Linked DNA regions of Macaca mulatta. The protein of the gene in region 1 interacts with the protein of each later gene in a biochemical or structural test. Links are inferred from orthologs where the notes say so. Each region holds a gene or a part of one and is shown on either strand. Other genes may lie near its edges.

The links. The genes of interacting proteins can lie anywhere in the genome.
Region 2: the proteins of GTF2I (region 1) and USF1 form a complex in vitro, tested with the Homo sapiens proteins (2 studies listed by BioGRID). The link is inferred for Macaca mulatta from reciprocal best matches to the Homo sapiens genes GTF2I and USF1.

What each region holds. Positions count from the first base shown.
Region 1 is NC_133408.1:52,146,705-52,154,489, reverse strand, and holds the start of GTF2I (general transcription factor II-I), read right to left. Parts: upstream 4,806-7,785; 5' UTR 4,376-4,805; coding exon 3,895-4,375; intron 1,805-3,894; exon of another isoform or gene 1,748-1,804; intron 1-1,747. UniProt on the Homo sapiens protein: Interacts with the basal transcription machinery by coordinating the formation of a multiprotein complex at the C-FOS promoter, and linking specific signal responsive activator complexes.
Region 2 is NC_133406.1:105,834,460-105,842,079, reverse strand, and holds the start of USF1 (upstream stimulatory factor 1), read right to left. Parts: upstream 4,508-7,620; 5' UTR 4,466-4,507; coding exon 4,325-4,465; intron 3,510-4,324; exon of another isoform or gene 3,436-3,509; intron 1,913-3,435; coding exon 1,791-1,912; intron 1,406-1,790; coding exon 1,356-1,405; intron 1,194-1,355; coding exon 1,078-1,193; intron 740-1,077; coding exon 638-739; intron 469-637; coding exon 273-468; intron 34-272; coding exon 1-33. Other genes in the region: ARHGAP30 (rho GTPase-activating protein 30), read right to left, coding at 6,217-7,620.

The DNA of each region.
Region 1 (7,785 bases):
GGGTGGATCCCGAGGTCAGGAGTTTGAGACCAGCCTGGCCAACATGGTGAAACCCCATCACTACTAAAAATACAAAAAAAATCAGCCAGGCATGGTGGCATGTGCCTGTAATCCCAACTACTCGGGAGGCTGAGGCAGTAGAATCGCTTGAACTCAGGAGGCAGAGGCTGCAGTGAGCTAAGATCACGCCATTGCACTCCAGTCTGGGCAAAAGAGCGAGGCTCCATCTCAAAATGGTAAAACCTGTCTCTACTAAAAATACAAAAAATTAGCTGGGCATGGTGGTGCACGCCTGTAATCCCAGCTACTCAGGAGGCTGAGGTTGCAGTGAGCCGAGATGGCCCCACTGCACTCCGGCCTAGGAGACAGAGTGAGACTCCGTCTCAAAAAAAAAAAAGGGGCCGGGCGCGGTGGCTCAAGCCTGTAATCCCAGCACTTTGGGAGGCCGAGGCGGGCGGATCACGAGGTCAGGAGATCGAGACCATCCTGGCTAACACAGTGAAACCCCGTCTCTACTAAAAATACAAAAAAAAAATTAGCCGGGCGTGGTGGCGGGCACCTGTAGTCCCAGCTACTCGGGAGGCTGAGGCAGGAGAATGGCGGGAACCCGGGGGGCGGAGCTTGCAGTGAGCTGAGATCGCGCCACTGCACTCCAGCCTGGGCGACAGAGCGAGACTCCGTCTCAAAAACAAAAAAAAAAAAAAAAAAGGAAAGAAAAGAAAAAAGAAATAGCATGTTGCCAGGCGTGGTGGCTCACACCTGTAATCCCAGCACTTTGGGAGGCTGAGGCGGGCGGATCACGAGGTCAGGAGATCGAGACCATCCTGGCTAACATGGTGAAACCCCATCTCTACTAAAAATATAAAAAATTAGCCAGGCGTGGTGGCGGGCGCCTGCAGTCCCAGCTACTCAGGAGGCTGAGGCAGGAGAATGGCATGAACCCAGGAGGCGGAGCTTGCAGTGGGCCAAGATCACGCCACTGTACTCCAGCCTGGGTGACAGAGCGAGACTCTGTCTCAAAAACAAAAAAAAAGAAAAAAGAAAAAGAAATAGCATGTGATCATGGGACCCTGGAAAGGAACCCCTGAAAGCCCATGGTGACTGAATGATGGTTATGCCACTTTGTTGAGATCTCTGTTATTGGGATCATACACTCTTTTTAAAGATGCTCTTTTGAATCCAAACTGAATAATCTTTTGGTGACTCTGTTATATCATTGTTTTTTGGTAGAGATGGAGTCTTGCTGTGTTGACCGGGCTGGTTCCAAACTCCTGGCTTCAAGCAATCCTCCTGCCTCAGCCTTCCAAAGTGCTATGATTACAGGCATGAGCACTTGTACCCACCCTCTCTCATACATTCTATTTTATTTATTTATTTATTTATTTATTATTATTATTTTTGACAGAGTCTTACTCTGCCGCACAGGCTGGAGTGAGGTGGCACAAGCTCCGCTCACCACAACCTCCACCTCCCAGGTTCAAGCGGTTCTCCTGCCTCAGGCCCTCGAGTAGCTGGGATTATAGGTGCATACCACCACACCTGGTTAATTTTTGGATTTTTAGTAGAAACGGGGTTTCACCATGTTGGTCATATTGGCCAGGCTGGTCTCAAACTCCTAACCCCAGGTGATCCATCCACCTCGGACTCCCAAAGTGCTGCCACTGCATTTCAGCCACTGTGCCCAGCCCTCAGTCATATATTTCAGATTGCCCAAAACCATAATTCTGGTGAAAGTTCAGATACTCTGTTTTTCTGTTTTCTGCTTTTTGTTTTGAGACAGGATCTCTCACTCCAGTTGTCCAGGCTGGCGTAGAGTGGCGAGATCTCGGTTCACTGCAGCCTCAAACTCCCAGGCTCAAACAGTCCTCCCACTTCAGCCTCCCAAATGGCTGGGACTACAGGTGCACACCACCACACTCAGCTAATTTTTTGTATTTTTAGTAGAGACAGGGTTTCACCGTGTTGCCCAGGCTGGTCTTGGACTCCTGGGCTCAAGAGATCCGCCTACCTCAGCCTCCCAAAGTGCTGGGATTACAGGTGTGAGCCACCAGGCCTGGCCCAGATACTCTTGACAGATCTGTATTCCACAGCAGAGCATGACTTTTGATGAATACCAGAGGTCTTTTTCGTTGAACTCTGATTGATACAGGCCCAATATCTTCTAAGTCCAATTTCTTGGTTTTTCTTTACAATGTACATAGTACACTATACATTCTTTATATTGAGAACAGAATGTAAAATATCATTTGTAAGATAATACTTTGATCCTGTAGACATTGTTCCAATTTATGATTTGCACAATCCTGCCCGGATCACTTCAGTAGGGTCACAAGACCTCTTTGGCTGTCACATGTGTATCTACACTCTAGCAGATAACTCCTTTGTTCTTACAATGATACTTTTTTTTTTGAGACTGAGTCTCACTCTGTTGCCCAGGCTGGAGTGCAATGGCGCAATCTTGGCTCCCGGGTTCAAGTGATTCTCCTGTCTCAGTCTTCCGAGTAGCTAGGATTATAGGCGTGTGCCACCAGACTCAGCTAATTTTTGTATTTTTAGTAGAGACAGGGTTTCACCATGTTGGTCAAGCTGGTCTTGAACTCCTGACCTCATAATCTGCCCGCCTCGGCCTCCCAAAGTGCTGGGATTACAGGCATGAGCCAGCATATCCAACCACAATGATATTTTTTAATACTGATTATAAAACACTGTTTTTGAACGGTTTTTTGTTTGAATAATTTGAATCCTGAATGAATGACTATCTTTTCCAGTATGTATGGTTCTTAGAATTCATCCAAAGGTGGAAAAAAAAAAACCTAAATCCAAGTTATAATTTATTCATAACAATTAATAATGTAGATGTGATCTAAATAGACCTTCCAGCTCTAGCTCTGCCTTTTGTGTGAGCATCTGGCCGACACAGTAAAACGAATATTCATGTTGCACCAGTTGAAATAAACAGTTTTCTTTGTTGGGGTAGCAGGATTTAGATGAATTTTATCTGCTATTTAGGATTATGTTAACATTGTCGTTTTTTAAAGTTTTTAAATTTAAGTTTTTAAATATAAAGCTCTAAATTTAAGTTGTTAAAAATAAAACCTCTATAGTATTTTCTCTGCCTCCTTCAGGGATTTGGGGAAATCAGATGATACGTAGATGAAAATACTTTATGAACTTGGGTACGTGTTATATAAATATTAGATGGTATTATTTAGCATTCAAAACTTTTTAAAAATATGAAAAAAGTCCATGTTCCATGTTTCTTTTCTTTTCTTTTCTTTTCTTTTTTTTTTTGAGACAGAGTTTCGCTCTTGTTGCCCAGGCTGGAGTGCAATGGCGCGATCTCGGCTTACTGCAACCTTTGCCTCCTGGGTTCAAGCAATTCTCCTGCCTCAGCCTCCCGAGTAGCTGGGATTACAGCCATGCGCCACCATGCCTGGCTAATTTTGTATTTTTAGTAGAGACGGGGTTTCTCCATGTTGGTCAGGCTGATCTCGAACTCCCAACCTCAGGTGATCCGCCCGCCTCAGTGGGAGAAGGATGAGGAGCAGAAAAAAAATAACTATTGGATAGGCTTAGTACGCGGGTGGCAAAATAATCTGTACAACAAACCCCGGTGACACGAGTTTACCTGTATAATAAACCTGCATATGTACCCATGAACCTACAATAAAAATTTAAAAAGAGAGAGAGAGAGTGAATACAGTAGTCCCCTGTTTCTGTGGGGGACACATTCCGAGACTGCCAGTGGATGCCTGAAACCTTGGATAATACCAAATCCAACTAGGCACAGGAAGAAGTTAACAGCAATGATAACAAAATGGAACAAGTATAGCAAGTACTGAGGTGAATGTGATCTCTCTCTCTCTCTCTCAAAATAACTTGTACTGTACTCACCCTTCTTCTTCTTCTTGTAATGATGTGAGAATCTATGCCTGAATCTGTGTAACCATCCCTTACTCGCAGTAAATGGCTTGGTGTCAGTTTCAGAGCATCCCTTGCTGAAGTCTTGGTATAGGCTCAAGGCTTTCTGGCACAACACGTTGCTGTCAATGGGAACACGTTTTCTGTTCATCTCTTCCACCCACAAATGCAGTGCCTGTTCCATCTTAACTAAGCACTTATCACGCACCGTGGCCGTCACTTTAGCAGTTGGAGGTGAGACAGCAAAACTAGCACGAATTTCTTTTTCCTTCTTCACAATTTCACGGATGGAAGATTCATTCTTCCCGTAGATCTTAGCAACCTCAGCATAGGATTTTTTTTCTTTCCTGATTAAGTCGAGAACTTTCACCTTTTCACTTAGAGGGAGCACTTTACGGCTTCTCTTTGGCCTGTCCAAATTCCCAGCATCACTACTCTTGTGCTTTGGGGCCATTATGATAGAAAATAAGGGTGACTTGGCCGGGCGTGGTGGCTCACGCCTGTAATCCCAGCACTTTGGGAGGCCGAGACGGGCGGATCACGAGGTCAGGAGATCGAGACCATCCTGGCTAACACGGTGAAACCCCGTCTCTACTGAAAAATACAAAAAACTAGCCGGGCGAGGTGGCGGGCGCCTATAGTCCCAGCTACTCGGGAGGCTGAGGCAGGAGAATGGCGTGAACCCGGGAGGCGGAGCTTGCAGTGAGCTGAGATCCGGCCACCGCACTCCAGCCTGGGTGACAGAGCGAGACTCCGTCTCAAAAAAAAAAAAAAGAAAAGGGTGACTTGAACACAAACACTGCAATACTTGCAGACAGTCGATCTGATAACCCAGACGGCTCCCAAGTGACTAACGGGTGGGAGGCGTCTACCGTAGTTCCCCCTCTTATCTGCAGTTTCGCTTTCTGCAGTTTCAGTTACCCACGGTCAACCGCGGTCCAAAAATAGCTATGTTCAGTACAAGAAGATATTTTTGAGAGAGAGACGGAGACAGACCATAGTCACATAACTTTTATTACAGTATATTGTTATAGATGTTAGAACAATTCCATATGACTATATCTATAGATATATATAATAGAGACAACCTATAGCCTTGCAACATAATCATAAAATCAAGAGATGAAAAATCTAGGTTAAATGCTGACAACAAATACCTGCATCCTTCCTTTTCTCTTTTTGTTTCCACCGTGGACTTAACCACCAGTTTCTTGATTCTTTAGCATTGCGTTTACCAAGCCTTTCCTCTTTTTCTGGTGAATCATAGCAGCCTTTTTTAACCCCTTCAAGACCTGGTGTTTAGTATACTTAAGGTAGATGACCCACTTGGGGAAGTTTTCATCAAAGAATAAAGGGAATTTTTGAACAATGGGTTGGAAGGGGGAGGGAAAGCCAATCAGAACGATGCTGTTCAAAGTGAAATTAACCCACCATCTGGCTGGGCGCGGTGGTTCGCACCTGTAATCCCAGCGCTTTGGGAGGCCAAGGCGGCTGGATCATCTGAGGTCAGGAGTTCAAGACCAGCCTGGCCAACATGGTGAAACCCCGTCTTTACTAGAAATACAATAATTAGCCGGGCATGGTGGCAGGTGCCTGTAATCCCAGTTACTTGGGAGGCTGAGGCAGGAGAATCGCCTAAACCCGGGAGGTGGAGGTTGCAGTGAGCTGAGATCATGCCACTGCACTCCAGCCTGGGCAACAGAGTGAAACTGTCTGAAAAAAAGAAAAGAGAAAAAGAAATTAACCCATTATCAGTGTAACAAGTACTTTTCATTGTTTTCCCAGCAGTGAGAAGGTGTTAATTATCCATTCCCTTCCCCCTAAACCTAGGGAGGGGGCTGACCAAGCTCTGGCTTGTACCTGGGGCTGTAGGCTGACTTCATTCATACCAGCCTGCTGTGTTTTCCAATCCCAGATGAACTCAGTCTGACCCGGATAATGGAAGGAAGTGAGGGGCACCAATGAGTATCAGGAAAGAATCTGAACACCTACTATATTCTGGAAAGCCTGCAAGACCATCTGTGCCCTCCAGAAATGTGTGATCATGGCTCACATGTATTGAGCAGTCCTTCAGAGCCACGCACCAGGCTCGACACTTAATAGATTATCTCATTGCTTGCTGCCTCTGTGGCAAGTGCACCGAATGCCCCTCCACTCCCATGCTAAAGAGGCTCAGAAAGGCTCAGTACTCAGCCTGGGATACACAGATGGCACAATCAGATTTTGGTCTAAACCTGCTCGGATCCAAAGCCTGAATTCTTAACTACTGTTGTCCATTCACCAGTAATAACCATCTGATTCAAGCAGATATGACAAATGAATCAAATACAATATGCACTCAGGTAAATGTGTCAAGATGGCACAAGAAAGCTACACACAAAGCAGACAATTTTTCATGGAGAAAGTAGCATTTGCAGCTGGGCACAGTGGCTCACGCCTGTAATCCCAGCGCTTTGGGAGGACGAGATGGGCGGATCATAAGGTCAGCAGATCAAGACCATCCTGGCTAACATGGTGAAACCCTGTCTCTACTAAAAATACAAAAAATCAGCCAGGTATGGTGGCGGGCACCTGTATTCCCAGCTACTCAGGAGGCTGAGGCAGGAGAACGGCGTGTAACCGTGAGGCGGAGCTTGCAGTGAGCCGAGATAGTGCCACTGCACTCCAACCTGGGCAATAGAGCAAGAGTCCATCTCAAAAAAAAAAGAAAAGAAAAGAAAGAAAGAAAGAAAAAGAAGAAAGAAAGAAGGTAGCATTTACAATGAAAAGTAAAGGATGGGTGAATTGTTTATTTATTTATGTACATGTGTATTTATTTATTTATTTATTTTGAGACGAAGTCTCACTCTGTTGCCCAAGCTGGAGTGCAATGGCATGATCTCGGCTCACTGCAACATCCACCTCCCAGGATGAAGCAATTCTCCTGCCTCAGCCCCCTATCGAGTAGCGGGGACTACAGGTGTGCACCACCACACCTGGCTAATTTTTTTTTTTTTTTTTTTTTTTTTTTTTTTTTTTTTTTGAGACGGAGTCTCGCTCTGTCGCCCAGGCTGGAGTGCAGTGGCCAGATCTCAGCTCACTGCAAGCTCCGCCTCCCGGGTTCCCGCCATTCTCCTGCCTCAGCCTCCCGAGTAGCTGGGACCACAGGCGCCGCCACCTCGCCCGGCTAATTTTTTGTGTTTTTAGTAGAGACGGGGTTTCGCCGTGTTAGCCAGGATGGTCTCGATCTCCTGACCTTGTGATCCGCCCGTCTCGGCCTCCCAAAGTGCTGGGATTACAGGCTTGAGCCACCGCGCCCGGCCTAATTTTTTTTTTTTTAAAGACGGAGTCTCGCTCTTATTGCCCAGGCTGGAGTATAGTGGCGCAGTCTCAGCTCACCACAACCTCCACCTCTTAGGTTCAAGTGGTTCTCCTGCCTCAGCCTCCCGAGTAGCTGGGATTACAGGCATGTGCCAACACGCCTGGCTAATTTTGTATTATTAGTACAGACAGGGTTTCTCCATGTTGGTCAGGCTGGTCTCGAACTCCTGACCTCAGGTGATCCTCCTGCCTCAGCCTCTCAAAGTGCTGGGATTACAGGCATGAGCCACCGTGCCCATCCTAGGATGAATGAATTTTTAAAAAACAAAATAAGATGAATATTATTTTAATTTTTCTATTTTTTGTTTTGTTTTGTTTTGTTTTTTTGGAGACAGTGTCTGGCTCTGTCACCCAGGCTAGAGTGCAGGGGTATAGTCACTGCTCACTGTAGCCTCTACCTCTTGGTCTCAAGTGATCCTCCCACCTCAGCCTCCTAAGTAGCTGGGACTACAGGTGCACACCACCATGCCCAGCTAATTTTTGTATTTTTTTGTAGAGACAGGG
Region 2 (7,620 bases), on another chromosome or scaffold:
CTTCTTGTGGTGACATCATCACAAAGAATTGACCTGTGAAGATGCAGGGTAGGTTCTGTCAGGACATGGGTAGGAACCTCACCAAGCCCTGAGGTGAAGACCCTGGGCCCCTCCTCTAAAAAGAACATGTTAATAGAAGAGCAGCCCCGGACTCACTGCCTGCCCAGATCTTAATGATCACTAAGAGTCATGAGTGAAGGCTCACTGCCTACCAGTCATGTCTCACAGCCTATTCTAGCCCTTTCAGCCAGCATCCTCATGCAGTATCTCACCAGTGCCAGGAGGGGTCGCCTGCCCCAGCAGTGCCTCTGAGCCCTGGGTAGTAACAACAGCAGCTGTACTCCCCGATGTGGTACCCCCTGCCCCATCTCCCACTGCCGTGCTGGGGAAGTAAGTATAGTGCGTCTCAGCAGCTGTCCCCTCCGTGTCAACTGCATCATCACTGGTGAAAGCACCCTGGATCACCGCCTGAGAGAGAGAGAGAGAGAGAGAAACATCCAGGAAAGGAGAGCCTAGTGCTTTGGGACAAGGCAGCCCTAGACGCCTCACTGTTCCTAGCTTCACCCCCATCCTACTAATACCCTTCTTCATCTTACTTCTCAGAACTCTAGTCACCTCCCCAGCCCATACCCTGTACCTGGGTCATGGATTGAGTGGCAGGGTAGCCACTGATGGCACCAGTTCCCTCAGTTTGGCCATCCAGCTGCCCCTCAGACACCTGGATCACCCTGTACATCACCTAGAAGTGTAGAGGAAGGCAGAGCAAGGGAAAGAGAGAATAAAAGATTAAGTGTTGGGAATCCTAGGGCCCCTCATAAAGCTTCCCTTGGATAGGGCCCCAAAACAAAGTCCTTCAGAGACACGGATTGAGCCATTCTCCCTTCTCTCCCCACACAGAGGTTTCAGCATACACCTAACCTCACACCAGTCTCTACTCCAGTATCAGCACCCCCCTCCCCTGAAACAGTCCACTCTTTCAACTCATCCTCCAAGCCAGGTCTCCCCAAGACATGTTCAATTACCTCCCTCAATCCCAATCCCAAATAACACCTGCAGCCACCTGGCCCCCTCCCTTACCTGGCCCCCATTCTCAGTTCGGAAGACGTACTTGACGTTGGGGTCAGGGAAGGTGGCAGCTGACTGGATGCTGGCAATAGCCACACTGGTTGGGTCTTCCCCAGTAGCCACTGCACCTGAATTAAAAGAACAAAAGAAAAGTCTGTGAGTTAACTGCCTTTCTATCCCCGTTCCACGTGCATGTCACTGAAGGAGGAGGATGCACAGGAGATGGTCTGGTGGGGGAGGAAGGGAGGCCATGATGGGTTCTTAGTCTTGGTTCCGTCTCTAGCACTCACCTTCCTGAATCTGCACTGTCCCCTCTTCCGTTTCAGCTGTTTTCTGCTGCCTGTTTGTGGTGAAAGGACAAAAGGAAGAGTATGGGAAGAAGTCAATGAGAAGCTCACCGGCCCAGTAACATATGGCTGCAAACTCATTGGCATTCCCAACAGAAGCTGAGTTAGGTTAGAATAACAACTAGTGTTTGCTGTTTACTATGTACATAAGCACTAAGCTAAGTACATCACATGTACTCTTATTTAATATTAAAAACAACACCATGAGATAGATAGCACTACTTCCATTTTATAGATGAAGAAACCAAATCACACAGTAAGTGATAGAGTAGAACCTGAATCCAGGTCTGCCTGACTCCAGAGGCAGTGCTCTTGGCCATTTTGCATTCTTCCAGGCCACCCATCTTTCATCCCAGACCCTACCCCTTCTTCACTCACCCCTTCATCTCTCTGTGAGGGGGCACATCCGAGGAACTGGTCCTTTTTTGGAAGTCTTTGTATCTCCTATTCACAGGCCTGAGTGCTAAGTCCTGGTAGAAATCATGAAGTTTGCAGTGAGTCTAGGAAACAGAACAGTATCTCCGGTTCTAGAACTTAGGTTCCATGAACACACAGCCAGGAAAATAACCCAGTCATCTGCAGGGGACAATCAGCCTCCACCATACTGATGTTGAGGACTGGCCTACAGTGATTGAAAAAGCAACTCTACAAATAGTGTTCCTTGTCCCTCCATTATCACTCCAACTCCTGGTAGAGAGGGGATAATTATACTGGAAGACAGAAACAACGCTTTTTTTCGAGACAGAGTCTCGCTCTGTCACCCAGGCTGGAGTGTAGTGGCGCGATCTCAGCTCACTGCAACCTCTGTCTCCCGGGTTCAAGTGATTCTCCTGCCTCAGCCTCTCAAGTAGCTGGGATTACAGGTGCACACCACCACGCCTGGCTAATATTTGTATTTTTAGTAGAGACGGGGTTTCTACTAAACCATGTTGGCCCGGCTGGTCTCGAACTCCTGACCTCGTGATCTATCCGCCTCGGCCTCCCAAAGTGCTGGGATTACAGGTGTGAGCCACCGCACCTGGCTGAAACAACACATTTTTTTTTTTTTTTTTTTTTGAGACAGTCTTGCTCTGTTGCCCAGGCTGGAGTGCAGTGGCACAATCTCAGCTTACAACCTCCGTCTCCTGGGTTCAAGCAATTCTCCTGCCTCAGCCTCCTGAATAACTGGGATTATACGCGCCCACCACCATGCCCGGCTAATTTTTGTATTTTTCAGTAGAGATGGGGTTTCACCATGTTGGCCAGGTTGGTCTGGAACTCCTGACTTCAGGTGATCCACCTGCCTCAGCCTCCCAAAGTGCTGGGATTACAGGCATGAGCCACCGCACCCAGCCAACAACACATTTCTAAATGGATCACTATTAAAGCTATTATGACCTGCCATGATGGCAGCCTCATGGGAATCAGGAAGGGCCATGTATTGGCCCCACCATCAAAAAATACCGTGTCATGGACACCGATACTTCTTCCAGTTTCTCAGCCACATATTGTCCACCAAGACATTTCTGTTCTCAAACCTAGGAAGAGGAAATCTCAAGCCCACTACCACTGGAAGAATGTCCCTGACCACAAAGACTAGACTTGGCCTTTGGGCCCCATTCTACTGACAGGATTCTTGTTTTGGGGTATTCCGATTTATATAATCTGTTAGAAACCCTAAAGCCCAAGTGGATCCTCTTCAAGCACCCTCTATTTTATTCATCAAGCCTTCCTGTAGAACAACACAGTTGCTAAAATGTTGCTATGACAACTCCAAATCAACTGAGCCTCAGCAAGAAGGGGTAAAAAAAAAAAAAAAAAAAAAAAAACAAAAACAGGGTTCTAAAGAAGAGACAAAGGGGGAAGAATCCACCTACAAGCTCTGCCTTAGGACCCTGACACCCAGCCAGAGGGCAGGAAAAACAAAGAGCTGGGCAGACATGCCTCCAGAAAGAAACAGCTACACAGTACAAAGCAGTAAGATAATCCCAACACAAAAGGGGCAAGATTTTTAGAAATTCTCTACCCATAAGGTCCTCCAGACCTTTCCTATCCAAGGAAAATTTTCAGTGGATAAGCCTTGGAAAGACCGCGTCCGAGGAAAATGTTGAAAAAGGAACTGAAAGTGAAACCGTCCAGAGGAAGTAACGCTGCAAGGAGATCCCAGTCGATAAGGGGAAGTAACACTAGTGTTTTGGGACCACCTACATTTCCATCTTCAAACCTGAAGAGGAAATGCCCTGCGAAGCTTGCCGCGCTGACTGCAGGGGAAGGCAATGAAATAGAGGGCCCGGCACAGGAGGCATCTCTATTGGCCACAGCTGTCAGCCGGGGCAGTCTCTGAGGACACCCAGCAACGGGGTCAGGGTACTTATTCAAATCTTAGTTGGACATCCGGAAGCATTTCCTAGGCATTAGGGATCTGTGACACGGAAACTGGAATGGGACGTTGTGGTGGGCACGCTCAGGCCAGAAGGGCCCAGTAAGAGCCCTTGCTAAGTCTGGACACAAAGGGAAAAAAATCTACTCCCGAAAGAAGTCAGGCGCCTAGACCTTGCCTGAGAATGAGGCGTCTCCCTGCAGGCTCTCCAACCAGAAGGCGCTTAAGGAGCTGAGCGCCCGCCAGGCGCGAGCCCGGGAGCCTGCGCCGTGACCCGCAGCCCCGCAGTCTAGCCCCGCGCCCCAGCTGCTCCGCAGAGGAGGCAGGAAAGGACATCGGGGACTAGGGGGCTCAGGCGCCCGGTGCCGGCGGCTGCGGCCCGCAGCTGGACAGCGCAGGAGGGCTGGGACGCTCGCGCTCGGGGGCAGGGAGTTTGGCCCACAAAGCAGGGTAGAAGATAAAGAACCAGCACAACACCCCCCCCCCCAGCCCAAAACAAAGGCTTCCTCCCCAGCAGTGTTCTCTAACCAGAAAAAAGGAAACAAAATCAAACCTGCCCTGCCTTGCCAGTCCACCCAGTTTCCAGACTTCTGCCCGGTCCTACACTCACCGGCCAAGGCCGTCTCAGCCGCCGATTTTCTCCAACTGTGTTCTCCCTCTCCCGACCTAGGTAGCTCCATAGACAGCTGCTCATGCGCACTTGCAGCCCGCAGCCATGTTGGTGAGGGGCGGAAGTGTCGCTCTCGGCCCGCCCACAAACTCAAACTCAGAGCCGCCCCACTTCCGCTCACTCCATCTTGATGAGAGCTGATGTTTGTGGGTTTTCTGTGAAGTCGGGAAGAAGCAGTGTCCTGGAGTATGTAGCTGAAGCCCTGGCCACTTTAGACAAGAACGGGAAAGAGACGACTAACTTGTACTGACATCTTAGCGCTGGCAGGGCATTTTTTCATTCCAGGAAAAAAGAGAGAGAATCCAGCTGAGATGAAGGGAGGGACGTCTGACGGAGGCGCCATCTTTAACAAGGGCTATTTGGGAGGCCATCTTGGCTCAGGGCGTCTTTTTGAAAGATTACCTACCTGCTAGAGATTACGACCTATCAGGGCATGCATAGAACTGGGTATGTTCCTTGTTATTCTCGTCGGCAGTCACTAACCCGAAGACCCCAAAGCTTCTAGTTTTCTAAAGGCTCACACTTTCTGTGACAGGAATCTTGATTCCTGTTCTTCTCAATCAAGACCTACCCTGAATGGATTTGGAGTAGTGTGGTATAATGGGAAGAATTCAAACTTGGGGACGAGGCAGATCCAGGTTTCAAACCCATCTCTGCCACTTCTTACCTCTGAGACCTTTGGCAAACATTTTGACTTAATTGAGCCTTAGTTTCCTCATCTATAAACTGGAGATACTAGCACCAACCTTCCAGACTTATGTGGATTAAATAAAATCAAGGACACAGATTTTATGAGCACAGGATACTTAGTCCAGTTCCTGGCACATAATGAGCATTATGTAAATATAAGTTTCTCTTCCTTATTTCGTGACCACCATGAACCTAGCTCTAGTTTCTAGCCACTAGTCTCCATGACAACAACTGAGGAAGAGCACCCAAACAACAAGAAGAAAAAGAATGTTTTGCCAAATATATGAAGATATAATAGCTATCACCAAAGACTTTAATAAGAGTAATGAGACTCCACACTACGTGTAAAAATACAGCTTTTATTCTGAGACATTGACCTTCACTAGAGTGGGACCTATGGCCCCAACCTGGCTGGAGAAGCAGTCCCAGGGCCTGAGTGACACCATTTCCCTTTCCTGAAATAGGAAGAAGTTATTCTAAAGGAAAAACGAGAGCCCAGAGACATCTGTACAGGATCTCTCTTGCACATGGTGACTGGAGGCAGAGGGTGGGCAGCTGGAGAGGAGTCCAGTCCCTCCAACAAATACTGAGGGTTTCAAAGAGCTTCCTGAACGTTTCTCTTAATCTGGATCTAAAAAGGACAGGAGGTATCTAAGGGTCCAAGAGCAGAACAGGAATGGGCAACTCTAGAAGTGTTTGTGTATGGAAGGCCCTAACCTGGCCCTGTCCCCCGTCTCTACCTTTGGCTTTCATGAAGAGAGATTCATAGCTCAGAGGAAGGGAGGAACTTCTCCAGTCTTCACTTTAAGAAACTCTTTTAACTTTTCTGCCTACCTTATGTTCCCTTTGGCCAGTAACCCACTCCCTGGGAACAAGATCTTGTTGACTTTCTTGGGAATCTCCTAAGAGATAAGTGCTTTCTGTCTGAGACACGGCAGTGCCTCCCACAGTCAGAGAAGCTGGAGGGCCAAAGCCTATAGAGTTGGGCACTACAGCTGCCTAGACTGCAGAAGAGACAGCTAGTCAGGAACCCTGGAGATTCAAGACAACTTACTGGTCCCCTTTGCCCAGGGCTGTGGTCCTAATCACAGTCCCTCACCTTTCTCAGGGTTAGCCTGTGTTTCAAATGCATACGATCGGCGCTGAGGGGACAACAGGGTGTCAGGAACCTGGGGTTCTCTGGGGGGCAGACTAAGACGACTCCGGGATCCAGACCCTTCCGTGCCTTCAGGTGGGATCTCCAGGCAGCTAAGGGGCCGAGGAGAATGGGCAGAGATCATGCTACAAGGGGAGTTTCTGGGGATGAGGCAGTAATCCCCACCCTCAGTACAGGTCTGGGTTCGCCGAACTCCCTGAGCCTCAGTCCTTTGGCGGTCCCGGGCTAGGGCCACAGCAGCATCAAAAGAAAGACTACCCCCATTCCTCCAAGAGGATCGAGAAGCTCGGGCCCCCCAAGCCCTTTCTCCAGGAGTCGCATCAAGCCGGCCAGGCCTCGGGCTTGGATTTGCAGGTGCCACATGAATCTTGCTACACATTGCACTGGGCATCTTGGCAAACTGTGGCTTGGGGGGCACCACAGGCACAGAGCGGACCTGTTGGACCTGAACCAGAGTAGAAGCTAGACGCATGCCCACGCCACCCAAGCCAAGGGAACAGGGACATAGACAGCCATCTGAACTGGGCTGCCCCTCAGACTCCTTCTCCTCTGACTGGGGTGGCTGTGGGGCTGCCTCTTCCATCTCAGAAGAGTGAGGATTGCCCTCTTTGGCACAGTCAACCTCCAGGGACTCTACACCTGAGCCTTCAGAGAGGGTACCCTCTTCTAAATAGTCCCCTCCAGCCCTCTGGTCTCCCTCAGCCTCTCCATCCCCACTCTCCCGTTCCTTGCTGACCTCCCCTGCTCCTCCTTCAGTTGCTGCTTCTGGGCTTCTGCTGTCTTCACCATCTCCTTGGTCTTTTCTTGCTTCATACTCTCCCTTCCCCCTCTGTCCTTTGTCCTCATCCTCTCTGACTCCCTCGGCCTCTTGTTTGTGTACAACTTCCCATTTCTCCTCAGCAACTTGATCTTCCTGGGCCCCTTGCTCTAGGTCCCTTTCAGCTTCTACCTGGGCTTCCTTTCTTTGTTCAGCCTCTTTTCTCTCAATTTCTTTTTCCTTCTCCTCATCTGTATACTGCTCTTCTGGTTCCTCCACACTTTTAGCCTCCATACTGTCAGCCTTTTTCTGACCTTTGGACTTCTCTTCCTTGGCCTCTGTCTCTTCACTACTCCCTTCTCTCAATCTGACCTTTGTCTCTTGGCTTCCCCCAGCCTCCCCTGTATCCTCACTGGCCTTTCCAGCCTCCACCTTGGTTTCTGGATTTCCCTCTGCCTCTTCCCTGATGTCTAGCCTGCCACCAGGCTCAGCCTCCTTGTCCACCCCAACTTCCCAGCGTGCCTGCTCTTCCCCAGCCTCTCCCGGAGCCTGCCTTCCACATCCTGCTGCCTCTCC